Linked DNA regions of Alligator mississippiensis. The main gene of each other region encodes a partner of the protein of the gene in region 2 in a complex. Links are inferred from orthologs where the notes say so. Each region holds a gene or a part of one and is shown on either strand. Other genes may lie near its edges. The genes, in order: GAS8, EFCAB2, IQCD and CCDC153.

Evidence for each region.
Region 1: EFCAB2 (region 2) and GAS8 share a complex: the UniProt entries of both Homo sapiens proteins name them as parts of the nexin-dynein regulatory complex. The link is inferred for Alligator mississippiensis from reciprocal best matches to the Homo sapiens genes DRC8 and DRC4.
Region 3: EFCAB2 (region 2) and IQCD share a complex: the UniProt entries of both Homo sapiens proteins name them as parts of the nexin-dynein regulatory complex. The link is inferred for Alligator mississippiensis from reciprocal best matches to the Homo sapiens genes DRC8 and DRC10.
Region 4: EFCAB2 (region 2) and CCDC153 share a complex: the UniProt entries of both Homo sapiens proteins name them as parts of the nexin-dynein regulatory complex. The link is inferred for Alligator mississippiensis from reciprocal best matches to the Homo sapiens genes DRC8 and DRC12.

Annotation. Positions count from the first base shown.
Region 1 is NC_081833.1:76,096,036-76,103,898, forward strand, and holds the start of GAS8 (dynein regulatory complex subunit 4), read left to right. Parts: upstream 1-4,857; 5' UTR 4,858-4,912; coding exon 4,913-4,915; intron 4,916-5,977; coding exon 5,978-6,070; intron 6,071-6,175; coding exon 6,176-6,373; intron 6,374-6,487; coding exon 6,488-6,694; intron 6,695-7,659; coding exon 7,660-7,714; intron 7,715-7,863. Other genes in the region: DBNDD1 (dysbindin domain-containing protein 1), read right to left, coding at 43-180, 332-487, 3,126-3,156. UniProt on the Homo sapiens protein: Component of the nexin-dynein regulatory complex (N-DRC), a key regulator of ciliary/flagellar motility which maintains the alignment and integrity of the distal axoneme and regulates microtubule sliding in motile axonemes.
Region 2 is NC_081824.1:160,724,924-160,732,225, reverse strand, and holds the start of EFCAB2 (dynein regulatory complex protein 8), read right to left. Parts: upstream 3,018-7,302; 5' UTR 2,822-3,017; coding exon of another isoform or gene 2,791-2,821; intron 1-2,790. UniProt on the Homo sapiens protein: Component of the nexin-dynein regulatory complex (N-DRC), a key regulator of ciliary/flagellar motility which maintains the alignment and integrity of the distal axoneme and regulates microtubule sliding in motile axonemes.
Region 3 is NC_081833.1:26,027,370-26,035,298, reverse strand, and holds the start of IQCD (dynein regulatory complex protein 10), read right to left. Parts: upstream 3,003-7,929; 5' UTR 2,960-3,002; coding exon 2,399-2,959; intron 1-2,398. Other genes in the region: TPCN1 (two pore channel protein 1), read left to right, coding at 3,485-3,593. UniProt on the Homo sapiens protein: Component of the nexin-dynein regulatory complex (N-DRC), a key regulator of ciliary/flagellar motility which maintains the alignment and integrity of the distal axoneme and regulates microtubule sliding in motile axonemes.
Region 4 is NC_081839.1:31,192,249-31,199,193, reverse strand, and holds the start of CCDC153 (coiled-coil domain-containing protein 153), read right to left. Parts: upstream 3,013-6,945; 5' UTR 2,966-3,012; coding exon 2,898-2,965; intron 2,334-2,897; coding exon 2,254-2,333; intron 1,717-2,253; coding exon 1,654-1,716; intron 1,118-1,653; coding exon 998-1,117; intron 613-997; coding exon 520-612; intron 285-519; coding exon 154-284; intron 1-153. UniProt on the Homo sapiens protein: Component of the nexin-dynein regulatory complex (N-DRC), a key regulator of ciliary/flagellar motility which maintains the alignment and integrity of the distal axoneme and regulates microtubule sliding in motile axonemes.

The DNA.
Region 1 (7,863 bases), on a different chromosome or scaffold from region 2:
CACATGTGCGGTCAGCCCCACTCCCAGCCCAGGCACGCTCACCACCAGGGGACTCGGCGACGTTCTCGTCGTCGGAGTCGGCAAAGACCTCAGCGAGCTCCTGGTCTGACATGTCCGTCAGCTCGGTCAGGTCCAGCAGGTCGAAGTGCACCTCCAGCGAGGACACGCTGCTCAGCGGCTCTGCGAAGGGTGCCCGGCTCAGATACAGGGCCAGCGTGACCCCCAGCACCCCCCACCCAGGCTCCCACAGCTGGGGGCCGGCACCAGGGCATGCAGGAGCCCCTCTTCCTTTTGGGCGGGGAGGGGCCTGACCGGGGCGTCTCATACTCACGTCTCCTCTCAGCCACCTGCAGCAGGCCCGAGCTGGGGATGGGGATGCCACCCTGCTCCTCGGCCGGGAGTTCCTCGCCTGGCCCAGGGGCTGGCACAGGCACCGGGATGGGGACGGCGGCCACTCGCTCTGGGGCTGGAGCCTCCCTAACAAGTTCTGCAAGAGCAAGCCCTGCTGCGTTAAAGCTGAGGCTGCGTCCGGGGGGCTACGTGGCAGGACCTCCTTGTCCGTCAAGCCCTGGTAGCAGCAGAGCCGGACTCCCCCTGGCTCCTCTGCCCAGGGCTGACCCAGCCCTGCTGAGAAGAGCCCTGAGCTCTGGGCAGGGGGCCTGGGGGAGCTCCCAGCAGCTGCCCCTGCTCCGCTCCAGCCCCAGCGCTTGGAGCAGCTGCCCCCTCCCCATGACAGCTTCTACCCTGGCCCCTTGTCACCCGCAGCGCCCTCCGTGAAAGCCAGGGATGCTCCAGGGCGAGGGTCCTGGTCACAGCTGCCGGCAGTGGGGCCGAGGCAGGCAGGGACCGTCTGTCTGCACCGGGGGCTGGGACTGGTGGGGCTCTGTAGCAGGCGGGGGAGCGAGCCCCCAGGCTGAGAGCAGCAGTGTCACCGAGGGACCCCTGGGGCAGGCCCAGGTGTGGCAGACAGGCCGGTGGGGGGATGCAGACGGGTACCAGGGCCCAGTGCTCATGGTGGGGACCCTGAGGCCACCGTGCCAGCCGCCAGCCATCCCCGCTGCTGGGCCTTTGTCCCCGCAGACAAAAGCGGAGCCTGTGCTGGGAGGCCGGGGACAAGGGGCGGCTTGTCTACGAGCATGGGAGATCGGGGGGCGCTGGGGCCAAGCCGGCTACGGCGTTGATGCTGCCCCCCACTCCCAGCCCCGCACACGGCTGCATGGGGCAGGGGGTCTCGCCGTGTGGCCGCAAAGGGGTGTGTGCAGTTGTGCACAGCCGGCGTGGCTCGGGAGGGGGAGGGGAGCGGAATATTTTTAGCAGCCCAGACGATGAATAATTCACAGCCCGGCTGCCGTTGCGGGCAGCTCCACGCGCAGCCGCCGGCGGCAGCGCAGACCCAACACCGGGGGCGGTTGGGTGCTCCCTGGCAGCGTGGCCTGGCCCGCGGGCCGCGGCCCTTGGCTCTCCAGGGGCATGCAGGGGAGCCAGTCCCGCCAGGTGCCAGCCTGGGCCTCTCCAGCACTGGCACCGTCGGGGTCTCAAGGGTCCAGCATCCTGGGCACGGACAAGGGCTGTAAGGCTGGGTTGTTACAGCTCCCTAAGGCATCTTTCAGCGTTCACGGTTTTATTCATGGGAAATCCTGATCCAGTTCTGGCTGCCGGCGCCTGGGAGCTTGGGGTCGGGGCCAGGCCGGCGCCAACACTGGACTCCTCATGTTTCTTTAACTCAAACACCTGAGCCGGAGAAAAACTGTCCGGGCAGCAAGCTCCCCACCTCTCCCGCGGGGGCCGCCCGATCCCTCCTGCTCTGCCACAGCCCCTGGCACCCCTGGGTGAGACGGGCTGGGCTGGGTCAGGCTCATGCCCACCAAGGCAACCTTTCAGGCCTTCCCTGACCATCTGCTCGCATGCTCTGTCCTGTTCTCTCGGGGCAGGACAGCAGTCCCCCAGGAGCAGCTGCCGGCCTGAGTGTGCCAGGAGGGCGATGGGGCACATGGGCAGGCCAGGAAATCCCGCTAGAGGCAAGGGGGAGCCTGGGGCAGGCACAGTGCAGTGGGTGCAGGGCAAGGAGAGGATTGACCCCCTCACTGGTGGCAGGGGGTCAAGTCTGGCTCCTGCTGGCTGGGATGCAGCCCCCTCCCCAGTCACTGGCTCAGAGCTCCTGGCAGGGGTGGGAGATGCGGACTTGGGGAGCAGACCTGGGAGCAAACGCTGCTGTGAGAGCCACAGCCATGGGGCCCCCTTCCCGCCGCCCGCTGTGCCCCAGCCCCTTGTGGCACAGTGTCCCCTGCTCTCCTGCCCCGGCCGGAGGAGCGGGGCGGGGATCTCTGCTGTCTCCTCTTTGCTGACTCACGTTCACCTGCAGTCGAGGGCAGAGGAGGGACCTGCGGTGGGACCGGACCGCCCGCCCCGCTGCCCACGCCCTTGCCTGGCTCTGCTGGGCCCCACTCCCCTACAGCCCCTCCTTGGCACCACGGCACGCCTGGGGGCCCCAACCCAGCAACACGCCCCTGCACCAGTGCAAGCAGCCTCCGGCCCAGGATGCGCCCCCCCCCCCCCACACACACAGCAGGGGGGCACCTGCCCACAGCACCCACCCCTGCCCTGCCCACAGGCACCCCCACCATGATGCCCCACACTGCCCCAGCTTGTAACCCACAGCCCGGGGGGACACCCTCCCCCCAGCATGCCCGCCTGCCTGCACACACCCCCCAGGGTGTTCTGCTCACACACCCACCACCAGGATACCCCCTGCTCACACACACCTCTGCACCCCTGTGTAACACCCCCCTCCACACACGTATCTGCACCCCTGTGCAACACACACACACACACACACACCAGGACAGTGCAACGCCACGTCCACACCCCACACGCATGCACGCAGAAGACCACACACACACGTCCACACCCCCTCGGGTGCCCCCTGATCACACCCCCCCGCACGCCCCCTGCCCCCGGATCCCCCTCTACACCCCGCACACCCAGCCAGCCCCTGGGACACCTCCGCACCCCGCCCCCGGCCGCCCCCCATACACGGGCCGGGCGCGGTGCGGTGCGGTGCGGTGCGGTGCGGGCAGCCCGGGGACGCCGCAACTTTCCTTGCTGGGGGGCGGCCCCGCACTCACCTGGGGGAGCGGCCCCGCCGCGCGGCTCCATGCGGCCGGGTGCGGGACCGGGCTGCGCTCCGCGCTCAGCAGCCCGCAGCGGCCCGCCCCGCCCCGCCCGGCCGGGGCCCCGGAGCGCGCAGCCCCGCATCGCCCGGCCAGCCCCGCCTCGCCAATGGGGGGGGTGCGGGCGGGCGGGGCGCGGGGCGGGCTGTGGGGAGGAGACAGGCGCCCGCCCCCCGCCCCGCATGCATGCCTCCTGCCCCCCCGCATGCATGTACCCCGCCCACCCCGCATGCATGCACCCTGCCCCCCGCCCCGCAAGCATACACCCCGGCCCCGCATGCATGCACCCCCGGGCACCGGTGCGGGCTGGGGGTTCCCTGCAAACAAAGCCGGCAGCCCAGCCAGACCCGGCGCGGGTGGTCCTAAGCCGGCCCCGCGCCCCCAGCCTCCTCGGGAGCCCGGGGTCCTCGGCGGGGTGGTGGGGGGAGGTAGGCCACCTGCTCCCCTCCCTTCCCCAGAGGCCCGATCCCCGGAGAGAAGGGCTCTGCCCGGCCGTGCTGGCACCAGGCAGTGAAGGGGTTAAGCCCCCCCTTGGGGTGCGGTCTCCAGGCCAAGGTCAAGGTGCTGGAGGATGGAGGCTGCAGGTGCTCCAGATGCAGGTGCCATGACAACAGGGCGCCATGGAAACGCCCAGCTCCCAGGGGACCCCAGCTCGGCGCTGCAGCTGCCAGGCTGCTCCCCAGCCATGCCAGGGCAGGAGTCCCTGGGAGCCTGCTTGCACCTGCCTGTGCGGGGCTCGGGGCCCAGATGGGGCGCCTTCTCAGGGGCCGGGGGCATGGCACACGGGGGCAGCACCGGGCAAAGGGGCATTTGCTGCTGACTGCAGCATGGGCATCAGGGCACTGCCGTGCTGCATCCGGGTGTGCAGCCCAGATGTGGGCTGTGGTTACCCTGAGCTCGGTGCTGGGCCCTGCAGGGCGTGAGACCAGCGCTCCTCTAGCAACCAGTCTGCATTTGTGCCCGCTGCCCTGGTGCGGAGCAGGCTGCGGGAGTCCAGCCGCCCCGCCAGCCCTGGGGCAGCGTCCCAAAGCCCATGCAACGCTGTCAGGGCAGCCTGGGCCGCCTCGCACAGGGCAGGAGGGCAGCCTAGGGCCCTGCATCGCAGGCGAAGCACGGGCTCCAGGGCCCCTGGATGTTACTGACTGGGCCCTTGCCCACCCCGCAGAGCTCCAGGCTGCTCCTTGCCCCTAGGGCCCTGACTGCCATCGCGGTGCAAGTGTCGGGCCTCTGGCAGGGCCTCAGCAGCGCCGGGGAGAGGCTGCAAGCTGAGCCCGGCCTGCGCTCCGCTCCGCTCCGCTCCTGGGGCTACGGGCAGCCTGATCCGGCCCAGGCGGCTCCTGCTGCTCCCTGCTCGGCTGCCCCGGCTGCCCTCTGCCCCCAGCTCCGTGCCCAGCGTCCTCTCTGCCCCGTGCTGGGGAGCCCAGCCAGCCACGTCCCTGCACCCCCAGCTCCCTCGGGCCTGTGTCCTGAGCTGGGGGGCCCATCCAGCCACACCCCTGCACCCTTACACCCCTACGGCCCGTGCCCCGTGCCAGGGGGCCCCATCCAGCCACATCCCTGCACCCCGAGACCTGGGGCGCTGCCCGGGCTCGGGCGGCGGGGCGGGGCGCGGGCGGCTGGTTGCTAGGGCGGTTGCCAGGCCCCGGCGGCGGTTGCCAGGGCCGCGCGCGGGTTGCTAGGGGCCCGCGGCTCTCTCTCGCGAGGCCGCCGCGGCGGTTGTCGGGACCGGGGGGGCCGCAGCTATGGTAGGGCCCGGCCCGGCCCGGCCGGCGGGCATGCAGCTCCGGGGCGCGGGCAGCCTGGCTGCAGGGGCCCCGGGGGCGGCTGAGTGTAGGGGGCTCCCGGCTGCGGGGAGCCTGCTGGGAGCGGGGGGCCTGGGTGCAGGCTGCGGGGCTTCTGGGGGGGCTCCCGGGTGCAGGCTGGTTGCAGGGGGCCTGGGTGCAGGGGAGGGGGGGCTCCTAGCTGGAGGTAGGAGGGCTTCTGGGGGAGGGGGCTTCCAGGTGCAAGCAGGGGGGTCTCCTGGGTGCAACAGGGCTGGGTGCAAGCTGGGGGTGGGGGGTTTCTGCGGGGCCTCCCGAATGCAAGCTGGGGGGTCTCCTGGGTGCAATCTGGGGGGCCCCTGGGTGCAAGCTGGGGGTGGGGGGTTTCTGCGGGGCCTCCCAGGTGCAAGCTGGGGGGTCTCCTGGGTGCAACGGGGCTGGGTACAAGCTGGGGGTGGGGAGTTTCTGCGGGGCCTCCCGAGTGCAAGCTGGGGGGGTCTCCTGGGTGCAACAGGGCTGGGTGCAAGCTGGGGGTGGGGGGTTTCTGCGGGGCCTCCCGAGTGCAAGCTGGGGGGTCTCCTAGGTGCAATCTGGGGGGCCCCTGGGTGCAAGCTGGGGGTGGGGGGTTTCTGCGGGGCCTCCCAGGTGCAAGCTGGGGGGTCTCCTGGGTGCAACGGGGCTGGGTGCAAGCTGGGGGTGGGGGGTTTCTGCGGGGCCTCCCGAGTGCAAGCTGGGGGGCCCCTGGGTGCTGGGTCAGGCTCGTCCCTGTCCCCAGGGCTGTGTGCTGGGCACAGCTCCAATACAACGGGGCTGCAGCTGCAGCAACATCCCCCCCAACCCTAACCCTAATACCCGCTGGCCCCTGGGACCGCGCAGGGCGGGGAGAGGCAGTCGGGGCCCCTCAGCTCTGCCCAGCAAAGGACCCCCGGCAGGGAGACACCCGCCGACATCTGCAGTCAGGACCCACCCCCCATCTACCGACTCGCAGAGACTTGAGCGCTGCTGCCTCCCCCGTGCACGCGGCTCAGCCCTGCGCGTTGTTCCCAGGCGCCCAAAAAGAAAGGCGGCAAGAAGGGCAAGGGGGGGAAGGCGGCGGCCGTGGTGGACGGCATGGCGCCCGAGGACATGAGCAAGGAGCAGGTGAGCTCCCTCCCCGCGTGCCCCGGGCCAGCCGGCAGCAAAGGGTGCTGACGAGCCTGGATACCGCTGCCCCCCCTGATGCCTCTTCCTGCCTGGGCCCCGCAGCTGGAGGAGCACATTGTGCGGCTGCGGGAGGAGCTGGACCGCGAGCGCGAGGAGCGCAACTACTTCCAGCTGGAGCGCGACAAGATCCACACCTTCTGGGACATCACGCGGCGGCAGCTGGATGAGAAGAAGGCCGAGCTGCGCAACAAGGACCGCGAGATGGAGGAGGCCGAGGAGCGGCACCAGGTGGAGATCAAGGTGAGTGGGACCTGGGGTGGGTGTTAGGGCTGCAGCGCCCGCTTGACTTGGGCATGTCCCCAGGTGCCCCCTGCTCCCAGCCTGTCCGGGGACTGACCCACCCGCCGCCCCCAGGTGTACAAGCAGAAGGTGAAGCACCTGCTGTACGAGCACCAGAACAACCTGACGGAGCTGCGGACCGAGGGCACTGTGTCCATGAAGCTGGCGCAGAAGGACCACCGGGCCCAGGAGCTGGAGCTGCGCCGGGACATGCGCTCCCTGAAGGTGGAGCTGAAGGAGCAGGAGCTGGCCAACGAGGTGGTGGTGAAAGGCCTGCGCATGGTATGTGGTGCCTAGCGGGGTGGGGAGAGGCCGAGCTCTGGGCTGCACGGTGTGGGGTGGATACCAGGATACCAACGATTAGCCCAGCCAAGGCTTTGTCTACCCAGCTCTTATAAACCTCCAAGGATGGAGAGTCCATCACCTCTCTGGGTACCCCGTTCCAGTGTTTTACTACCCTCCTAGTGAGAGTTTCCCTTAATATCCAACCTCAACTTCCCTTGCTGCAGCTGGAGCCCATTGCTCCTTGTCCTGTATCTGCCCCCACTGAGACCAGCCCAGCTCTGTCCTCTTTGCAGCCCCCCTGCAGGGAGGTGAAGGCTGCTATGAAGTCTTCCCTCCGTCTTCTCTTCTCCAGACTAAATCAGCCCAGTTCCCTCAGCCTCTCCTCACCAGTCCTGTCCCCCAGCCCCACAGCTATTTTCATTGCCCTCCACTGAACCCTCTCCAATTTGTCCACATCCTTTCTGTAGTGGGGGGCCCAAAACTGGCCCCTTCTTCATTCTGGGGCAGATGCGGTGGGTTTACCACTGCAGAGTCAGGTTCCAGGAACAGGCTGATGCATCAGCAGCCCCCTGTGCCAGCTCATGCAGCATGGGGAATCCAGCCCTTGCCACTGATGCTGAGGGGTGTAGAGGCAGCTGGCACGACCAGGGCCTGGCAGGTCCCATGCTCGCAGTCCCAGGGCTGCTCTGGGATGCAGGTGCACTGAGGCTGAACTGTTGAGGCCATGCCAGGCGAGAGCTGGAGACCTCCAGTCCCTGGTGGAAAGCAATAGGGCTGTGCAGCATCTAAGGAGGGAGCATCGGGCGTGGGGGACAGGGGGCATTGGGCAGGCACTGGGTGCCATGTATCCCAGGCACCCGCAAATGGTGCCTCCAGGGGAGGAGGGTGTGGGGGCTGCCTGGGGCAGCCAAGCTCCCTCTGTGCCCAGGGGCCTGATCTGACGTGCCACCTGCCCCCGGCAGAAGCAGGAGGAAGAGATCACACGCCTGCGCTGTGACTTCGAGAGACAAGTGAAAGGTCAGGCGGGCACAGCCCGTGCCCCTCACACTCGGCGCACAGCCCCTGGCTGGCTGCAGGCCCTTCCCCTCCCTCCCCTCCCTCCCAGCTGTAGGGCTGAGACCTGCTTGGTGCTGCCTCCCTGCCAGGAGCAGCTGGAGGGTGGGGGG
Region 2 (7,302 bases):
CAAGTCACCAAGGTAGCTGCATTCATCAGGGCTACTTTGGCTGACACTTTGATTCTAATTTGTTGAAGGCTCTCAGTTATGGAATGTGTTACCATTAGAAATCAGGATGAACAAAAAATCTTACTGCTATGTTATTCGATGCAATATTTTTTTAGTATTCCCCTGAAATTTTTGCAATGAAGTGGCCCTAGCCGGGATTCTTATCCAGGATGCCACAGCACCCTGAGGTGCCAAGAGATCTTTTCAAGGGTGCCCCCAAGTGCAAGAAGATAAGCAAGGTGTGAGGAGATAAGCAGTTAAGTGCAGGCTCAGGGTGGTCCCTGCCTGGCTCCTCAGCAAGGAGGAGAAATGATGTTTTTGGAATGGGATGCCACTCAATTCACAGAAATTATGGATCTGTGGCTCAAGGTTTGGACTCTTAAGTTATGGCAAGACCCATCAGCGAGCCATGGTAGAGATCATCCTCAAATTGAAGGATTGTCAATGACAAGTTGTGTTCTTGAAAAGAAACCCTAAATTTAACAATGCTGTTATAAAGACCATAAAGCTTAACGTATGTAAGAAAAACATTTTGAATTGAGGTAATTATTGTTTCGTAACTTCCTTCAGATGCCTAAGCCTTATAATACTGAGTGCTTTAGGAATGTCTGCAATGTCAGCCTCAAACTTTTCCTCACAGCTCTCCACAAGTGTTTCTGGACAACTGCACTACCTCATGATTTCTCATCCCCGTTAAGCACCTGCACATGACATTGGTCACTAATGAGCTGACTGGACAGCTAACATTTGGAGCCTACAAATGAGCAGCACTGGACACTGGTACAGGTCTCTGTGGCAAGAAGGAAAAGCGGGAGTAGTAGACATCTGTCCGTCTTACAAGACAATAGGATTGTGGCAAGTGAGGCATCAGCCTGCTTTACCACATCGTGGGTGAGGCCACAGAGCCCAGTTCCTGACTGATGCTCCCTTCCGAACTTGTCACACGTGAAGTTCATGTGGAACAATCCTGAGTGTGCTGCAGGCTCCTTTCCGCACCATGCAATGTTTGAGAAAGATTATGTGAAGAAAAGCAAAGTGGTGACAACAGTGCAGCATGTGCTTCCCTCATCTTTGGATGCCCTGACATGAGCTGCTGGTCCAAATGTATTGCCCAATTCACCAGTCTTGTGTGTGGTAATTCCCGGAGATGGAGGAGGGAGCTAATGACATACTGCCCGAGTCCCCAGGCAGTGTTGCCAAGTCTGAAATATGAAATTATTGTATTGGAAGCTCAATATTACCAGAGTTTTTCAGCAAGTATTGTACACTGAAAAATCATCCCAATGAGTACGCAAGTAGGTAGGCAAATAAGTCTTCTCATTTACTTTATGTTGCTCACTATAAGCAGTGTGTGAATTAATGGGGAGCTGGGGGGGAGAAGGGCTGAGCACCCCCCCCCTCCCATGAGAGGGGAGAACCCCTGTAAGATTTGAAAAATCATAAGGGGGGGTGGGGTGGGGAGAGAGTCCCTGATCCAGATTGCTCCTTCACCTAGGTGGACTTGTTAATCAATGAACCAGTTTAATTTTTTTTTTTTTTTTTGCAGACACCCCAAGAGCCAAAGTATCATTCAACCCCTGACTAATACCACTAATATATAGATAGGTAGGTAGATACCTCTATCTATCTATCTATAGTGATGTTTCACAAATGTTAGGGTCAGAAGGGACCTCAATAGAACATCGAGTCCGACCCCCTGCATAGGCAGGAAAGAGTGCTGGGTCTAGATGACCCCTGCTAGATACTCATCTAACCTCCTCTTGAAGACCCCCAGGGTAGGGGAGAGCACCACCTCCCTTGGGAGCCCGTTCCAGACCTTGGCCACTCGAACTGTGAAGTTCTTCCTAATGTCCAGTCTAAATTTGCTCTCTGCTAGCTTGTGGCCATTGTTTCTTGTAACCCCCGGGGGCGCCTTGGTGAATAAATACTCACCAATACCCTTCTGTGCCCCCATGATGAACTTATAGGCAGCCACAAGGTCGCCTCTCAACCTTCTCTTGCAGAGGCTGAAAAGATCCAGTTTCTCTAGTCTCTCCTCGTAGGGCTTGGTCTGCAGGCCCTTAAGCGTAGAGCGGCCCTTCTCTGAACCCTCTCCAGGTTATCCGCATCCCTCATTTTAATCACAGAAAAATGTGGATTTGGGGTTTCTTTTTTTTAACCGAAAATTGGGAATTTTTTTTAATCAGAGAAAATCAAGATCCCCATTAATCCTACAAAGGCTGCAATGGAAAGTATTGTATAAATGTGATAACCCCAGCACACCTAGCAACCCTGTCCTCAGGGACCTGCGCCACACACATGGGATACTACAGCATAACAGGCCTAAATAAGGGCGCCTCCGGCCACAGCGCGCGCCTTTATCAGCGCCCGGCCCCGCCCCTCGCGGGCGCTGACGTAGCAACGGCTCCGTTGGGGGTTGGACAGGGCCGGGCAGCCCTGGCGTGGGGGAGGGGCCGGAGCCCCTCGAGCCCCTGGCCCCCGCTCGGCTCTGGAGGCCGCGCAGCCCCGCCTCGCTCCCTGAACGCGGGGGCGGGACTGGCCCGGGCAACGCCGCCCCTGCCCACCGCCCTCACGCGCATGCGCAGAGCGAGCGCGGCCGCGCGCAAGGCAGCGTCCGCTGGGGAGCAGGGGGAAAAAAATGGGCGCGCGTGTGCTTATTCCGGAGGGGACAGGGCCCTCGGGCGCCGTTGGGGCCCCTCTGGGGCCCCTCCGGCGGGTGGAGGTGGGGCCGGGGCCGTGCCGGGCTCTTACCCGCGGTGGCTCCCTCCTTCTCTTCCGCCATGGCCGCCCCTAACTGTCGCCATGGCAGCGCAGAGGCGCGCCCGGCCGAGGGGGAGGCCTGCGCACGCCCCCAGGCGGGGGGCAGTTCAACCGTCTCCCCCTCCCCAACGGCGGTTCCGTCCCGCGGGCCGGGCGCGGCCTGGTGAGCCTGCGCCGCCGCCGGGGACCGACCTCCGGATTCCACCCCCAGCGCAGTTGGAGCTAACTGCGGGGATGACGGCCATGCCCCTCCCCCGGGATCTCCCCTGGCCGCGCCACCCGCCCTCCGGTTGGGGAGAGAGAAACCGCGCTCCTTGCAAGCTGGGCCGCGGCAGACACCAGGGTGTAGTCGCAGCTCACAGACTAACCCTACTCGATGTATATGTATACGTGCATGCACCTGCATATAGATGTTCAGCTAAACAGGCCTCGCATGATATGTGTGTGCTGGTGTATACGCATGCACACATGCATAACTTAAGGCCTGTTCAATGGTAGGTGATAGGCAGTCTGTAATGGATGCGCATCCAATGTGTTCAGGGGTTCCCAGGGCCTGTTCCATATAGATAGAGATATGCAGATATAGATATATCTATAGATAGATAGCTCTATATCAATACTTCGTGTATATGTGTGTGTGTGTATATATGATCTAGATATATGTGTGTGTGTCTAAATAAATATCAATGTGTATATATAAATATATCTATATGTGTATAAATACAAACATACATTTATATATAGATAAATGTAGATGTAGATATATATCGATAGTTATATGTTATAATCTATAGATATATAAATGTATGTGTATATCTTTATAGATATATATCAATATGCGTGTGTATAATATATCTTATAGATACCTATATAGATAGATAGGTATACACACACACATAAAATGTGTGCTAGAGAGAGGGAGAGCGCATGGTTTCCCCAGCTGTAACTTACTTCATCACATGTGGTACAAGTCTTGTGTAGACTAGTTACAGTCCAGTTCAGGACCTACCTTGGCCTCTAAAGCAAGCCACTGCTTACAGATGCTGATGTATCTCAGATTCTACCCTGCGCTCTGCCTACCTTAAGGGAATACAGGACAAGATACAAAAGTTAGAACGTGGCAAGTTATTTTCCATGGAGAAGTTTCAGGTGCCTAGCTGCATTCTGATTCTGAATCCCAAACCCAGGGATTCAGCTGTTGCCATCATTTTACTGTGCTGATTTAAATATCAGCAATGCCACCATAATAATAATAAAAATCAGCCTGCTCTTTGCAAACACTACTATACCCTCCTGCCATATATTGTCTGTTTGAAGGCTGAATGGAAGAGAAAAGGAGTACTATAAAACATCCTATTTTATATTATAAAGTGTTTTGTTTTGAACATGATAGTTTTTTGCCACCAGTTAAAGAAATCCACATGTATGCGAGAAACTTTTTGTTCTTGAAAAGACACCAAACTATAGCTAAAACATTAAGTACACCTGATGCGATTCCAGCAGAGGTCTACAAAAGGTGGTCACAGCCTCACGAAGAAACAAACCAAGATCTGCAGTATGTGGGCACAGGAGGTAGTCCCTCAAAAATTCAAGGATGCCTCCATCATTTACCTGTACAAGAGGAAGGGAAATCGTCAACTCTGACAACCGCAAGGGAATCTCCCTCCTCTCAACTGCTGTCAAGATTCTTGTGAGAATCCTCAACCCGCTGACTGACCATTTAAACAACCTGAGAGTCGACGTGGCTTCAGAAAATGATGAGGAACCACTGACACGGTGTTTATAGTCTGGCAAAGCTTCAAGAAAAGTGCCAAGAACAGAACATCTACCTTCTCACATTAATCGACCTAGCCAAAGCCTTTGACACAGTGAACCGTGAAGGCCTCTGGGAAATCATGAGGTACAGATGCCCTGGAAAATTCATCAGTATGGTTCGACAGTTCAACAATGGCATGATGGCGCACACATCCTTGTGAATGCTCTGACCCCTTTCCATTCACAAATGGCGTCAAGCAGGGCTGTGTGTGCACGCCTACCCTTTTCAGCATGGTATTCTATGTAATGCTGTTGGATGCCTTGCAAGATGATGACCTTGGTATGGGGATCAGGTACTGTTTCAACTGAGACATCTTCAACCTACGCAGACTCCAAGTGAACTCCAAAGTCCAGATAGCCACGCTTTGTGACTTCCTCTTTGATGTTGACTGTGCATTATGCGCAGGCTCACAGGCTGACATGCAGCGGTCCATGGACCTATTCTTATCAGCCTGCGACAACTTCTGACTCACTATCGACACGAAGGAGACCGAAGTGATATTTCAGCGTTTTCCTGGCACAATACCCCAGGAACAACACGTCTCAGTTAAAGGCCACAACTGTCAATGATCAACAAGTTTGCCTATCTAGGCAGTATGCTCTCCTGTGCTGTCCACATCAAAAATAAAGTCAACGCAAGGCTAGCAAAAGCCAGCGTGGCTTTCGGCAGACTCCGTAAATCGGTCTGGGACCACAGAGGCATTGGCATGTCAACGAAACAAGTTTTACAAAGCCATCATTCTCCTGACCCTCCATTATGCCTGCAAAAGCTGGACTATCTACCAGTGTCATGCCAAGAAACTAAACCGCTTCCACCTGTGCTGCCTGTGAAAGGTACTAAAGATCAAGTGGCAAGACAAGATTCCAGACACTGAGGTGCTCAGAAGATCAGCTCTCCCCAGTATCCACAACCTCCTGAAACTGGGACAGCTAAGATAGGCCGGCCATCTTTTAAGAATCCCCAACACTTGGCTGCTGAAGAAAATCTTTTACGATGAAATGTCAAATGGAGTACGCTTTTGCGGTGCACCAAAGAAGCGGTACAGGGACACCCTAAAGGTCTGTCCCTAAAGAGTTTCAGCATTGACCCTCTTCCCCCCCCGTCCGCTGGATGCGGTCACCTTTGCTTGTGAAGGACAAACAACTAAATGCGTCCATTGGCATTCAAGGGAAATCCCTACTTTAATTTTGACTGTAAATTTCGCAGACATGTTTGCCATCCATGGTTTTTCAGGCTCAAAAGCAGCTGTGAAAGTTGAGAAATACAAAGATAATGGAATCAAATTGAGCTACATTGAGAGTATTATGTTTGTTATTTCAGAGTGTTAAACGTTTCAGTCAAGGGTTTGATGAAATGCAACTGTTCCAATATTTCACCTATTATGACATTTCTTAGACCCTTGTTGGTCTAGCCAACTATACTACTTTGTGTGATGTTTAAATGCAGCAAAGCAGAAGTGGCTACTTCTCTCAACAGACACGTACAGTTATGCAGCAAAATAACAGAACATTCAGAACAGGACCTCTGCTTAGTAAAACAAATTACTTTTTTTGTAGCCTTTGATACTTACAGGAAGGAGCAGCAGTTCAGTGATGTCCCTTATGCCAATTTTTCTCATTTTCCATGTTATCAAACATGGCACAGAAGAAAAAAGGTATGAGAAACTTCAAAGAATACATCACTAGTCTATCAGGACAACATTGTATACTCTGAACAAAATACTACATCCTTTTGAATGATTATGAATCATTTGGAAGCACTTAGGTGAGCTGACCTAAACTTCAGGAGAGTGTGAACCTGCTCCTGTTGAAGCTGTTGAGGGATGTGGGTTGGGGACAGTGGCTAAATAGAGGAAAGAAGGGAACTTAGAAGAAGAGTTCCAAGCAGTACATCTTTACCTCAGTCAAACCTTGTTTCATCTTAATTATAGAGGTCTTACCATTGAAGTGAAAACCTACTCTCAGTCAAGTTTCTGTTGTGGGTCAGTTATGTTTGAAACTAAGGAACAGAAAGAATTCTATTTCAAAACTAACAGCAGGACATTCCCATTGCCTTCTTTCATAGTCCCAGTTGTAGACTTTCACTCACCATTACTCATCTTTACCTGGAATTGGTATTGACGATTTTATTTTCCCCTGGTCATCTCATTAAAAGGGACAAGTCCCTTAGAACTCCTGAACAAATTGGATGTGCTTTTATTATGGGGTGCTTACCACATTAGTCTAAATATGCCTTGCATAATCCTATTCTACGCTTTATTTAGGGTCTTATATCCAAACCACAATCATTATATGTGAAATCTTGTATTGTTATAAACAACAATTGCTTGTCACTGCTGTTTATCAGGGGTTTCAGACCTCACAGTAGCCAAAGACAGCAGGAGTAGCTGAGACTGCTTTTTATGCCTTGATGTCAAACCAGCAAGCCAGTGATTTCACAGAGGCTTCTACCTTGTGCTTCTTAGCAGGTTAAGGGCTTTAAGTTTGTTCTCCCTCTCAGGCCTGTTTTCTCGCTTTAAAGCATAGGCTGCAGAACTGACATGTAAAAGCAAATTGTTGAAACCCATTTTAATTCATATTCCTGTTTGCAATGGCTGAGTTGAGGTTTCACTCATGGTCAAATTAGGTCATTTACACTGCAGATCTTAGTCCGGTCCTGAGATTCCATGGGCACTGGTTCTGCTTTCT
Region 3 (7,929 bases), on a different chromosome or scaffold from region 2:
ATTAGACCAAGTAAATAGTTGGAAAAATTGTTCTTTACAAGCTTTTGGGCACAAACACCCTTCTTCAGGCACAGGGAGAGTCTGCTGGTGTTTGTGTACTCTCCTGGGTACAACAGAAGCTTAAGCCGATATGCAAAATGCAGGTCTGTGAAAATGCAAATGCGTGGCTGGAAAGATTAGAGGGATGGGAGTTAACAGGTGTAAGACAGGTATGGGGTGTGGGGAATGTTGACCTGGTGACAGACTATAGCTGGTAAAATGTAGAGGTTACCTGGGGTTATCGGATGTCATGCAGGTTATAATGTGCCATAAATCCAATGTCTATATTTAGCCTGCCATCTGATAACCCCAGGTAACTCTCTACATTTTACCAGCTATATTCTATCACCAGGGCAACATTCCCCTCTTCCCTGCCCCCTCCCCCTCCATACCTGTCTTGTACCTCTCAACTGCTATCCCTCTGATCTTCCCTGCCACACATTTGCATTTTCACAGACCTGCATTTTGCATATTGGCTTATGCTTCTATTCCACCCAGGAGAGTACACAAACACCAGCAGACCCTCCCTGTGCCTGAAGAAGGGTGTTTGTACCAAAAGCTTGTAAAGAACAATTTTTCCAACTATTTACTTGGTCTAATAAAAGATACCACATTTAGCCAAAGTACCTTGTCTGTCCGGGTATGACCAGTTTTTTTCCCACTGTTCCTCTCCCATTTGCAGACTCCAAAATTTAAGATCTAGGAAGTTCTTATTCAGAGGCTGTAACCCTGACTCTTGTGCTCGAGCTACTGATGCCCCTTTCCTCCAAGAATTTGTCCAGTCCCTTTTTGAATCTGGCTCAACTGTCAGCTTCCGCATATGGTGGCAATGAGTTCCACACTTTAATTACACACTGGGCATGTCTACATGTGCTTTTATGCACACCTAAACTGAATGTGCATTAGCTTAATACACATTAAGGTGATTTAGGTGCGTGTCTACACATGCATTTGCTAAGGCGCGTTAACGTGGGTGTGTGGACCGACTTGGGACTAAAGTTAGTCCCAAGTCAATAGGTACACACCGCATTAATGCGCATTAGCATGTCTTTGCGTTCGCTAATGCGACTTAGCTATTCATGTATAAATTTGATACCCACTTTATGCAGGTATCAAATTTAGGTTTGAATATCCCCACATCACCATTTTTAGGTGCGTTAAGGGGCGCACGTCTAGATGCGCCCCCTGAATGTGCCTTATATACTGCACATTAAATGCACATGTGTATATGTGCCCACTATGTGACAAAGAACTTCCTTTTGTTCATTTTCAACTTACTACTCTCTCATTTCATTTCGTGACCCTTAGTTCACATGTGGATGGTCTACATTTTTTGTGCGATTCAGCAGGAAATTGTATTATATAACATATACCAGGGGCCTTGTAAGCTCCAGCAACCTCCCCTTTATGAGAGGCAATGGGTGGATTAGCTTTGTGGTTAACCAGTTTCCTGGCAGTGCCCCGGTGTGCTGCTAGCCAGTTCTCCCAGGTTTGTTTTCCTGATTGGAAAAAAATGACCTGTACAGATTTTCATAGAAGCAAAAAGCTTGCAGCGATGATGCTGGCAGCCAGGGGGCCCTAGAGCACGCAGTCCAGGAGAGAAGTTAGCTGGCTTTTTTTCCTTAAGTGAAGGGATCGGCAGGGTCAGGAAAAAGTAGGGGCAGGGACTTTATGCCCTGCATAGAAGAGTCCTTCAGCCTCCCCTGCCACCCTCCCCTTAGCCAAGAAAATCTGCTTCTATGCTTGCCTGCATTCAAGTGCTGCAGTTCAATTCAGGCAGAGAACAAGCCAGGAGCACAACATGCCTCCCAAGTGCTTCATGGCTGGGCTTGTTCAGCCTGAAGCACTCAGGGGGCGTGTTCTGCCCCCTGCTTGGTTGGGAGGGGGACGGAAAAGCAGCAAAGCACACTGGCTGCCCGTACATAAGTGCCGTCTCCTGGGAGCCATTTCCCTCGGGCTGTCCCCAAGTTATTCCTGTCCCAGAGCAGCCACTTTTACTCTGGGGAAAAGAAAAAAAAAAGAATTACAAACTTGTGTACACTCCTGGTAGAGAACAGAGACTCTCCCTGGAGAAACTGAACATCAGTCCCTTAACAGAGGCCGGCCCAGGTCAAGCAGCAAGTCTGCGGCATCTAGGGCCCTGGGACAGCAGCCTCGGCGCTGCGCCGTTTATCGTCCAGCCCCGAGCGCTCGCGGGGCCGGAAGCAAAGCACCCTGGGACGGTGGAGGCCCCCCAGAGACGCTCTGCAGGGAGCTATTTTGCTCCTGAGGGGCCGTTTCCCCCGGGGCAGAGGCAGGGAGGTCTGTGCCGTCCACTCCTCTGCCCGAGCCTGAGCCCGAGCCCGAGCCGGCCCCGCACCTCCTCGTCGCGCCTGTGGAGGGCGGCGGCCAGATCCGCGCGCAGGACCGCCACGGCCTCGGTGTTGCGCTGGTCCCGCAGCGACACGTCGGCCGCCAGCCGCGCGCGGGCCTCCTCCTCCCGCGGGCCGGTCAGCAGCCGCTCCAGCAGGAAGCCGCGGAACTCGGTCAGGGCCCGCACGAACAGCTCGTCCGTGAGGTCGCGGGCGTACACCTCGTCGCGCACGGCCTGGGCGGCGCCGGGCTGCGCCTGCAGCAGCCGCGTGATGCAGCGCCCCGAGCGCTGCAGGCTCCGGCCGGGGCCGCCCGCGCGGCGCAGCGCGTCGTGCTCCGCCAGGGCGCGGCTGAGCGTGGGCCCGAGCGCGCGGGACAGGTCGCGCAGGTTGGCGATCACGTGCGGCAGGAGGCTGACGTGCTCCGCGCGCGCGATGGTCTGGTCCAGCACCGCGATCACGCGCCGCGTCTCCATGGTGCCCCGCCGCGGCCCGGCCTCCGCCTTTGCCTCCGCCTCCGCGGCGGCCTCCGGCATCTGCCCGCGCTGCCGCCGCACCGCGGCCGCCATGGGCGTCGCTGGGTTGCTAGGGGACGGCGCGCCCAACGGCTCGCCTCGTTCTTCACCGGGAGGCGGGACCGGACTCCCTAGGCAATGGGAGACGCCGGCTTCTTATGATGAGCGCGACCTGCAGCCAATGGAAGGCCAATACGGGATGGGGGGGCGGAGGAACCCAGATTGACCACCTCCGGGAGCAGAGAAGATGCCGCACGGGGATTGGCGAGCCGGCAGTCGCCGAGAGCCTATCAGCCAGCGGCTTGCGGGCATCAGCCAATGGGTGTTGCAGGGGGGCGGGCTGGGGCAGGCTGAGGCTAGGCGCCGGGCGGAGAGGGGCCGGGCGGGGGCCATGCGCGGGGCGCGAGGCGGCGGCGGCGGGCGCAAGGCGCCCCCTGGGCTCACGTGAGCGCGGGGGCCCCCTGGCGGCGGGCGGCCGCTCCGCGCCTGCCTCGACATGCCCCGGGCGGCGGTGGCGGTGGCGGCAGCCTGCGCGGGCGGCGCTCGGGGCCCGCAGCGCTGAGCGCGGCCGCGGGGGGCATGGCCGGCAGCCCGGACGACGACGTGCCCCTCATCCTCACCCTGGAGGACGGTGGCGGCCCCGCGGCCCCCAGCGCCGCGCCGGCCGGGGACGGGCCGCCCGACCACAGTAAGCTGCCGTCCCGTCCCGTCGCGTCGCGTCGCGTCGGGGGCGGGCGCGGGCGCACCTTGTGCCCCGGCCTCTGCGTGTGTGCAAGAGAGGGGCCGGGTGCCGCAGTCCGGAGCCCGGGGCTTGGAGATGGCGCTTTCCTGAGCGCGTTTGTGCGGAGTGGGGACCTCCTCGCAGGCGCCCGGCGGGGCGGCGGGTGGCGGAGTGCGGCGCCGCTTCCCGCGAGGAGGTGCTCGCGCGCGCGGCGCTGCCTGGCGTGACGAGTGGCGGTGCTGCGTCCGGGCGGGGCAGGCGGCTGACCATGAAGTTATCGGGAGACGTCGGTGTTGGTTTTCTGGAAGTGAAAGCGAGGGATGGGAACGGCGGCATTGCACACTCGGGGCACAGATGATTATATACCCATAGGGGGGTGTGTCCGTATGCGTGTATGCGCATGTCTGTAGGCATCCAGGTTGTAGCCCTATTAGTCTGGGGGAAAAGGCAATCAGGACTCATAGTAGAGATGATATCTTGTGTTGGACCAACAAGATTTTTGCAAAAAAAAATCTTTAATTGCAAGCTTGCGAGGTAATTTGCATCATCGCAGATCCTCACAGGAGGGGAGAGGCTCCAGACCAGCTATGAGCTGACTGCCCAGAGGAGTTTTCCATCTATTGACTCCTCTGTGAAATCCTATGAAATATGAACTTTCATTTCTACCCAGGAGAATGTCTACAATCTTTTCTCCAATGCCTGATGAAGGGTGTTTGTGGCTGAAAGCTTGCAGTTAAAGACACTTTTTTTGCCAAAATCTTGTTGGTCTAATAAAAGAGATCATTTCTCCTAGGAGTCCTGTGTGTTTATATGCACACGCACATTTCTGTATATATCATTGTGACCTGAGTCTGCAGTGTGTATGTGTATGCACACACGCACAAGTGGGGGGAGACCCACGGGGGGTGCACGGATGCAGTCGCAAATCCCTTTGATTCCTGTTCCCCACCCCCAAATTTAAAACTAGTTGCCTGAAAGTGGCAGCAGCATTTCTAGTGGCAGCAGTGCTGAGGGAGTCACTTGACTTCATGGCTAATTCATATCTACCCAAGTCCTTCTAATCTCTTGATTCCACAGATGTTAACGGACTCTTTCTTTTTTCTAATGGTCTTGATGTTCCACTAATTAAACTAGGTATCTAAGTTGTAGCCGTATTGCTCTAGAGCAGCAGTTCCCAACCTGTGGTACGTATACCACCACTGGTATTCCAACAGCCTGTCCGTGGTCTGCTTTAACAAATTTATTATAATTACTTTATATGACAAAAATGTTCTGGTGGTACTTAAGGTTGTATCATTTTTACACTGGTGATGTGCAATCTGTCAGTTTAGGAATCACTGCTGTAGAGGCAAAAAGATCAGAACTAATGGTAGAGGGGATATTCTTTATTAGATGTTTGCAAAAATGTCTTTATTTGTAAACTTTCAGCATACTTGTCACTTTTAGCACAAGCACCCTTCTTCAGGTATAGGAGAAAAGACTGTAAAAGTGCTTCTAGGTAGAAATAAAAGTTCATATTTCATAGGAGAGTTGAAGGTGTGGTAAAATCTCCTGTTTGAAACAGTTCATTTTATGTAGATTAGGCTCAGAGAAAAGTTGGAGTTGTCTGCTTACCTCCAAGTTTTGGCAAGTAGGATGTAGAGTCATATTTCCTTCTGACTTATGATGTTTCATATTTCACAGAAGAGTAAAAAGATGGCATGCTCTTCTGAGCAAGAATTTCTTTTGTGGTAAGCTGGGCTCTGTGATGATACAAATTATCTCAAACAATGGCAGGAGCAGGGTCTCAGGTTTCAGGTGGTAAAACTTCCTCCTTGTAAAATTATGAAGATTTAATTTTTAAAATAGGCTAAAATTCAATATCTTCCATGTGACAGGTATCCAGGTTGTAGCTGTATTGGTCTAGAGGCAAAAGGAATCAGAACGCGTGGTAGAGGTGATATCTTTTATTAGACCAACTAGATGCTTGCAGAAAAAGTTCTTTATTTGCAAGCTAATTGAGCTAGCCTTCCTTCTGCAATTCTGCTGTCTGTTAGCTGCTTCTGGTAATGTAATATGTTTTTCTGCTTAGATATCATTCAGAGTATTAATATTAGTCCCCCAGCATTCTGTGACTTTACTGGATAATTTGGGTGGTCAAATTTGGTGATTTGATGTATAAACCTCTCTGTTCTGTTGTGTGTCTTTTACAGTAATGCCAGCTCTCGTAAAATTATCGCGAGAGTTGCAATGTCTAAGTAAAATTAAGTTCGACTCATGATCTTGCATCTCAAGTCTCACCTCAAACTCTCAAGTCTCTGGATTTTTCCTTCTGGCGTATCTCATGCCTAACCAGGTCGAAATTGGCTGCAAAGTCTCTGGGAGCGCGGGTGGGGCCTAGCTGCATGGGGGTGCAGGGAGCCCTGCCAGCTCAGCACCAATCCTGGGGCTGCAAAGAGTGGGCGGCTGCTCAGGGCGTGATTCAATTTGGTGCAGATTTGGCGGCCAAATCCCCAAATCTGAATCAAATCGGAGGACCCTTTAATTTCTCTGAATCGAATCGGAACCCTCTGAATTGATTTGGAGAGGTTCAGCGATTTGGACATAGACACAGCTTTAAATGTTTTTTCTACATACCTCTAGGTAGCAGGCAGTTCATCAGTGTTGCAATACTGGGGCACATGGAGGGTCCCACAGGAGTGCAGGAGGGGCTCCCCAGCTCACTCGGCAGCAGACCTGGAAGTGGACCAGAAGCACTTCTGGTTGACCTCTGGGTCTGCCGGAGAGCATGCTGGGGGGGGCCCCCCTCAGCTTGGCGATTGGTGACTCCTGGGTCTGGGGGAGCACCCGGGGTCCTTCTGTGGCCGATTGCCAAGCCAAGCGGGCATGGGGGGGCGGGGACAGCGCGCTTCCCAGCAGACCTGGAAGTGGACTGGAAGTGCTTCTGGTCCACTTCTGGGTTCACCGCCGAGCACGGGGAGGGGGGGCGTCATGCTCCTGTGGGAAACTCCATCTGCCTCGGCTCGCAGTGTTCACAAGCTGCACCTGGTACCTCAAGGTATGTAGAAAAAACATTTAAAGCTGATTTTGAAGATTCAATGCTAATTCCGAGATTTTGATTCAGTTGAATTGAATCGGGGATAGTGATCAGAATCAGCAAATCAAATCACTGTCCCCTATTTGGGCTGAATCCATATTGAATAGGGCCCATTTTGCACACCCCTAGTGCATGCCTCCTCTTAAAGACCCCAAAGGTAGGGGAGAACACCACCTCTCTTGGAAGCCCATTCCAGATTCTGGCAACCCTTACCATGAAGAAGTTCTTCCTGATGTCTAACCTAAATCTGCTCTCTGTCAGTTTGTGGCTGTTGTTTCTAGTTACTCCAAGGGGTGACCTGGTTAACAGAGCATCTCTTCCTTGTTGCCCCCCCCCCCCCCCGGAAGAATTTGTAGGTGGCCGCAAGATTACCTCTCAGCCTTCTCTTGCAGAAGCTGAAGAGATCCAGGGCCCTTAATCTTCAGGCCCCTAACCATACGAGTGGCCCTCCTCTGAACCCTCTTGAGGTTGTCTGCATCCCTCTTGAAGTGCGGCACCCGAAACTGGACGCGGTATTCCAACTACAGCCTGACCAATGCCGCATAAAGAGGAAGTATCACCTCCCTGGACCTGTCCATCATGCACCTGCCAATGCATAATAAAGTGCGGTTAGCTTTACTGATCGCTTTATCTCATTGACGACTCATGTTCATTTTGGTGCCAACAATGACTCCGAGATCCCTTTCCGCTGCTGAGAACCTCCCCAGCCTGTAAGCATGCTGGTGATTCCTTCTCCCTAGGTGCAGCACCTTGCATTTGTCCTTGTTGAACTGCATCCTGTTCAGCTCCGCCCAGTTTTCCAACCTGTCTGGATCCGCTTGGATTTGTTCCGTACCCTCTAATGTGTTAACTTTATCACATAATTTGGTATCATCTGCAAATTTGGACAGAGTGCTTTCCATGCTCTCATCCAAGTTACTGATGAAGACATTGAACAGCACCAGTCCAAGGACTGAGCCTTGTGGGACTCCACTGCTCACATCTTCCCAGGTCAATATTGAACCATCCACCACCACTCTGAGTGTGACCCCTAAGCCAGTTTGCCACCCACCTGACCGTGTAATCATAAACTGAATGGCTGTAACGTAAATCTGTGAAACTAGAGTGAGATACCATATCAAAGGCCTTCTTAAAATCCAAGTACATGACATCTACCTCGATTCATGCATCTAAGCATTTTGTTTAATGCTATGGAATTGAAATGCACAGTTGACTTTATTTAGTATG
Region 4 (6,945 bases), on a different chromosome or scaffold from region 2:
CCATACACATAGCTTCTGTGCCTGCAGGTCACCACCCTCCTCTCCCCATGTCTGGGAGCAGGAGGCAGCAGGGAACTCCATGAGCTTCCCTGCCCTTTCTGCCGGCACCTGGGGGGTCCAATCTCATTGCCACCGCCCTGCGGGGTGACTCACGTGCAGGATCTGCTCGTACTCAGTCTTCATGGTGTCGATCTTGGCCTGCAGCTCGGTGAGGCTCCGGTCCTTCTCGCCCAGCGTCCGCTCACTCTCCTCCCGGGCCTGCTGGCTCTGCTGGCGGCACACGGCTGCAGGGGGATGGGGGTGAGAAGGAGCAGGGCTGGGGGCTGAGCAGCTGCAGGAGGTAAGGGGTGGCTGGAGTGGGGGAGACTGTGGGAACTGGAATGAGCTGGAGTATCGATGCCCATGGATCATGCTGGGACATCGGGCACAGGGTCTAGTCTGACATCTCTGGCAATGCCTAGCAAGGTGGTGCTGCTAGGGAGAAGAGCCCACCATGGCAGGGAGAGGGGGGATTTGTACCGAGCTGCTCCTGGAGCTGTGTCACCTCGGCCTCCAGGCACTGGATGCGAGTCTCTGTCTGCCGCTGCAGCTCCTGGTACTGCCGGATCATCTCTGCGGGGAGAACAGGGCTGAGCCCGGCTGCCAGAGTCAAGTCCCTGGCTGTGTCACTTATACACCGGGTGCACAGGCCACTAAGGGACTTGCCCGTGGCCACCCAGGAAGCCTGTGGCACACCATCCCCAGCTCCCAGGGCCTGTGAAACCCCATGGCGGGCAGAGCTAGAGCAGTTCTGCAGGGCAGGGAGGGATGGGGGGCTCTGTAGCTAGGTGGGGGTGGCTGGGGGTAGCCTAGGGTGGCATGATGATGGCAGAACTGCTCGTCTTGCAGGGCCCTGCATGGAATGGAGCCAAAGGAAATATGGGGCAACCCATGGCACTGCTCCCAGCCTGCTGCACCCAGCCCAGCGTCCCCTGCACGCCTACCAGCTCTGACCCACCTTCATAAATGTCCCTCTTGTCCTCCCGTGCTGTCTCCAGCTCCTGCTCCAGCTCCTGCAGCCGCAGCTGCAGCCCCTCGCTGTCCGCCTTCGCCTGCCTGGCCACATCCCTCCGGAGCACTGGAAGTGACAGGCAGGTTAGGACCCTGCCCTGTGCTCTCTTCTTGTCGGCTGACCCTGGCCAGAAGCTGGCAGCATTACCCCGGCACAGCTGCCAGGAGCCCAGGTCTGGGGACCGCAGCCACGGGCCCCTCCTGGCGTGGGGGTGGGTGCTGGCTTGGACCCTACGGGGCTGCAGTGTGTGTCAGTGAAGACCCTCAGCTGGGCGACCATGGGACCAGTAGTGCTCCCAGTGGTGCAGGGAACTGCTGTGGTTGTGAGAGTCCCTGGCCCCAGCCCTGGCCCCAGCTCCTTGCTCCTGGGCCAATTCCTGCAGGCGTTCACCAGCTCTGTGGCCAGAGGGGATCCCTGCAACCATCCTGGGCTTGCTGTGCCCCAGGGCTTCCACCACCTCGCAGCGGCACATCTCAGCTGCGGGTCAGTGCATGGCAATGGTCCTAGATGGGGAGATGTCTGTACCACCCTGCCCACAGTCTGCCCCTCCTGTCACCTGGCAGGGCTCATGTCCCCACTGCCCACCCAGGCCAGGGGCTTACCCAGGTGCCTCCTGAGGGTGTCCACCTCCAGAGCTGTCTTCCGGGACTCCTCAGCTTCGCCTGCTGCATAGACAGAGCACAATCACGCATGCAAGACGGAGCATCGTTGGGCATTGGACACCTCCTCCCTGGGCTGGGGAAGCTCAAGTGTGTGGGGCAGGGGTTCAGGGTCCCCCAGGGCTCTGATCCAGAAGCCTTGGCTTTCCTATAGCTTCCATGTGAAGCTGGGGTCTCCCCCAGCCCTATCGGGGCCAGTCCAGGGCTAATCTCAAAACTGCTCTGTACCCACACCACACCTGGGAAATGGGGAACATGGCACTGGCTTCAAGCAGGACGTGCTGGTGCCTGTGTCCCATATACCCCCAGCACTGGGTTTCCCTGCTTATGCTGGTTACACCCCAGTGGGAGGCACGGGGCTCCTACAGGGTGGTCGGCAGCTTGTCCTGGCCCCTGGCTCCAGCTGCCTGCTGCCTCTCATCAGCCAGGAGGGGCTGGGCTGCTTTGGGATGGGGGAAGCTGAGAAGGGACATGGTGCATCCCTGCAGCCTGGGGGGCAGGACCTGGGGAAGGTTTCTGCCCATGCATGGGATTCCCGCTCACCTGCTGCAGGCTGCTTCTTCTTCTGTCTCCCTCCTTTCTTCCCCTTGCCCTTGGCCTTGGGGGCCATGCTCCTGGTTTGTCTGTGAGGAGAAACGGGCAAGGGGTATTGAGGCTCCCCCAGAGCTTCTAGGTGATGCTGCATGGAGGAGAGGCCGGATGGGAAGGCCACTTCAGCCTGGCATTTCCTGCACGGGCTGCAGGCATGGAGGGAACGGAGGCAGACCACGCTTGCAGCTGGGCTGTACCGTCCCAGGGCAGCACGGAAGGTAACCAAGACCCCCAGCAGTCCTCTGCCATGGGGCACTGGGGAAAGCGCACCATCCATCACTCACATCATCCCTCTAACAGGCAACACCTCCCCCAGAGATTGCTGGGCCCATGCCACAGCTGGGGAAACTGAGGCACAGAAAACAAAGGCGGCGAACCCAACAAACCAAATCAACCCAAGCCCTCCCCCCACAAATCCTGACTCCCAATGTCCCCTGCCCAGCCCATAGCCCCCCCCAATCCCTCCCAGCCTCCTGTTCTTCTGCTATTCCTCTCCATTTGCCGCACAAAAACCAGCCACATGCTGCAACAGCTCTGCAAGGGGAAGAGGCTTGTAGATGATCGTTTCCAATGAATCTCCCCCAAACCTCAAGTACCTGGAAGTGAAGGGCTTCTTGCGTGCGAGGCTGCAGATTTCCAGCAGGAAATGTAACTGGCCTGGCATGAATGGCGTGGGGAAAGCCAATCAGCTGGGAAGGCACAGCAGGCTGGTGTCGGGGAGCCTATCCCAGCCTGGGAAAAGCCGGCAGCTTTGCATTGCTAGGCAGCAGGCTGCTGGCTGCTATAGCGACCGGGGAAGCTTGGCAGCCAGGGGCTGGGCTGCAGGGTCTGAGGCAGGCGCAGGACTTGGCAGATCCCACGTCCTTTGCATCCAAGATGCTGGAAGGGGGAAGGCTGTGACATCTCCCAGCATCGCAGCACAGCAGCTGGGCCAGGGTCAGACGGGTTGGGAGAGCAGCCCACAGCCGCACGCCTGCTCTGAGACCCGCGTACACATGCAGAGCGGCAGAGGGTGACACACATGCACACAGAAACAGCTCCCAGGCTCAGATACACATGTGCACACACGCATGCAAGCACGTGGACTCGTGCTTTCTATGTGTGTCACGTTTTCTCCACGGAGGCCTTGCTCCTGCCCTTGGGGAGGTCAGGCTGTGGGGCCAGTCATGCAGAGCCCTGCTGTGTGACCGATTCCCTTCGCCTTTTCCTGAAACCTGTCGGGATGTCTTCAACCTGCTCTTTCCCAGGTGGATGGCGCCTCCCCACACTGCAATCTGCCTTGTTTAGGGCAGAGATGGGAGCATGTGCTTTGCCTCCCCTCCTATGTGGACTGCTCTCCCTCTGTGCCTCAGTTTCCCCATGTGTCAGATGAGGGTGGGACTCCATGGAGCACCTAGGTGACGACTTGAGCCAGACCCCTGGCTGGTGTAGGAGCCTGGCTGCTTGCACTGGTTGCAGGCCCCGTGTGTGTGAGCGAATCACCGGGAGCTTTGCGTGCATGAGAACAGATCGGGACTAAAAAATACATACATCTCAATCTAGGGGTCTAGATCTGGATTTTGTGACTCAACCTCCTCCAAGGCAACGGCACCACAGCTCTGCTCTTCACCTTTCTCCTTCCACAATCTCCCTCTAGCGTGCGCAGTACTGTGGTTTTGCAGGCTCAGGCCACCCCTGATGGAGGGGGAAGGGAACAGGGGAAGCAGAGAGATGAATTACAGCAGGGCTTTTGCTTTTGGCACCGTTGTCAACCAAAACACCCCGAGGGACACCGACAAGCTCCTGCACATTGTTCTTGAGCTGCTTTATTAGCTGGCCGTCCTCGCTGTTGGCTGCAGCATTTGGAGGGAGATGGATGGCAGGCTCGGAGCTCCGTGCTGGGCTGCGTGGAGCAAGCAGGTTTTCTCCCGGACAGAAGAGGAGCTGCATGAAGGCAGATGGGGCTCCACATGGGGAGAAAGGGTGTGTGAGATGAGACCCCAGACTCATCTGTTGCTGCTAATGTCTCCTGGCGCTGTGTCTTTGCTGCCCTCTTGGCACTTCCTCAGGCTTCAGGAGCACACTGATTCATAGATTCATCAACTGTAAGGCCAGAAGGGACCTTGGGAGATCGTCAGGTCCAGCCCCATGCACCAAGCAGGAAAGGCTCTTGCAAGGCATGATTATAGTACCCCACTATGGCTCTGCGGGAAGCAGCAGGTCCTCTCTGTGGGTCTTGGTCGCTGATTTTATGCAAAGCCTGCCTCTCAGGAGAGCTTAACTACATGTCCCATGCTGGGGCAGTGGAGACATGCTCCCACGACTCTTTCTGGCCAGGGCAGTCCTGTTCCCCAGCTAAGGACAGCCTGACTAAGTACCTACCCCGCATCAGGTCAGGGCCAGGGCAGGCAGAAAGTGTTGTGAAGAATTCCCCTGAATGCCCCACCCAACTGGATGAGGAGAGGGAGGACCACACCAGCAAGCCCAAGGCCTGAAGGCACAGGATCTGTGCCATGATGGAAGATGCCTTCTTCAGTCAACAGTTTTCCAAAGCCAAGCGAGCTCTGTCAGTCCCAGTGCGCTCGGCCCCTGGAGGATAATGCCATCGGCCTGGCTCCACTTCCGGATTTTTTTTTAATTGGAAATTTTTGATGCATAGAAAAAGGAACCTGGCTTTTCAAAATAGGGAACTGCTCCTGTTTTGCAACATCTGTACAATAATCTGCTCGCAGCTGAGCAACCCTGGGGGAGGGATGGGAGGCTACTAATGAAGCAACCGCGGTCAAGGAGCTGGGTTGAAGAAGCAGCAAATCCCTTCTTGAGTGCTAGCTCTGTTGCCTTCATAGAGGAACCGGAGCACGCAGGGGATTGCCAAACCAGCAGCAGCCGGGTTTTATACTGGGGCATTCGGTGTGAACAGGCAGAAATCTCTCTGATGAATCCTTTTGTGTTAAAAAGTGGTGATTTGGCTCAATGGGGATGTTGCCCTGATTTGTTTTGCTTTCCCTGAACTGTTTTTCAAGAAAGAAAAAAAAAAAGGGAAAATACCTCCTCTCAAAAAAAAAAATATATAGATAGATATAGATACACACACACACACACACATATATATTTGAGATGTTTTAAACAAAAGACATTGGTTATTTTTGTCGACTTCACATATCCCTCCTACATGTACGTCACTTTGAGTAGGGTCCATTGATAGTAATGCTAAATAAAAAGCTCGAACAAATCCTCCACTTGCTTCTAAACCAGTTTTACCATCATTTGTTGATGTGCCAAAAAGTGTGAGGGTGTTTTGATCTGGGACCGAGTCTTCCCCCCACCACTATAATTGCAAACAAACCTCTTCCCTCAGGTCTTGGCAGGAGCCCCTTTGAAATACATGCACAGGTGGCAAATGAATGGATGCTCAGCCTGGAAACTAGGCTCCTGACAGATTGGCATGCATGTGAAGGACCCAGTGGAACAATTGGGCAGATGTTTGCCTTGAGGTCCTTGGTCTGCATGTCCCCTGCACCTCCTGTCTTGGAGGGCTCTGGGCACTGGCAGCAGCCCTCCGTGCCAATGGGGCTTCACTGCAGCAGGAACTGGGCATGGAGGATTTTGCTGGGATGGAGCATGCATTATGCTCAGCCATTTCCCCCCTTGCAACAGGCAGGAGAGGGCCCGGGTGGTAAAAATCACAGTTAAAAATATCCTCTTTATTTAAATCCATTTTGTACAACTGCAAATTTACATTTGGGGGCTTAACCTTCTTCCCATTTCATGGTCTTCACATAGATGCCGTTTAATCAGCTCTCCAACTCGCTTTCTGATGGGGCAATCTGGGGTCTATGGGCAGACTGCGCTGTGTGAGAAGCCACACGGTCAAAATCCTCCTCAGTGCCAAAACAGACAAGCCCAAGGGCCTCACTAACCTCATTCCTATATGAACATCCCACCTGTGCACCCAGCGGATGAGAAACTACCCCGGGATGCGTGCCGTGGCCAGCAGCTCCCCGCGTGTTGAATTTCCCCAGTGCTGCAGTGCTGTTCCAGCCCAGCTCTTAGCTTGGACCCATATTCCCACACCCCCGGGGGCTCCTGCACAGCCCTTCATTAGGGGCCTTCACAGGCTGTCTGGGAGCTTAATTTGGGGAGATGACTTTTGCAGTGGGTGTATCTGCCATTGCACAGTATGGCAGATGCACTGACAGTCTCAGTCTCCTGCTCGTTGTCTGTGGCAAACTGGCTTTGCTGTAGAGCGAGAGATTTCACCTTGCTGCCGGTTTCTGAGAAAAAGAGGATTTATCCTCCAATGCCGCAGACACTTGTCGCACTGTAAGCACAGGCCTGGGGACCCTTCCTGGGAGTTCATGGAAACCAGCAGCTTCGGGGCTGATCCTAGCTGGTCTCGGCTTTCATGCTCTTGGGCAGGGATTTATTTCATCTCCTTCAAGTCAGAGACTGGAGGGGGGAAGGCATGAACCCCCGGGTGAGTCCCTCCTCTTCCCACCCCAAAGCAATCGGGACACAGCTCATTGGGAAGGTCCAGGGATCCCCCTCATGGGGACTCTGCAACTGCACAAATGGCAACCGGTCAATATTTCACGTGCATTTAAATCCAGCCAGATTTAAAATACATTTTAAAAAGCAATACTTAAAACTGGCAATGATGTAAAT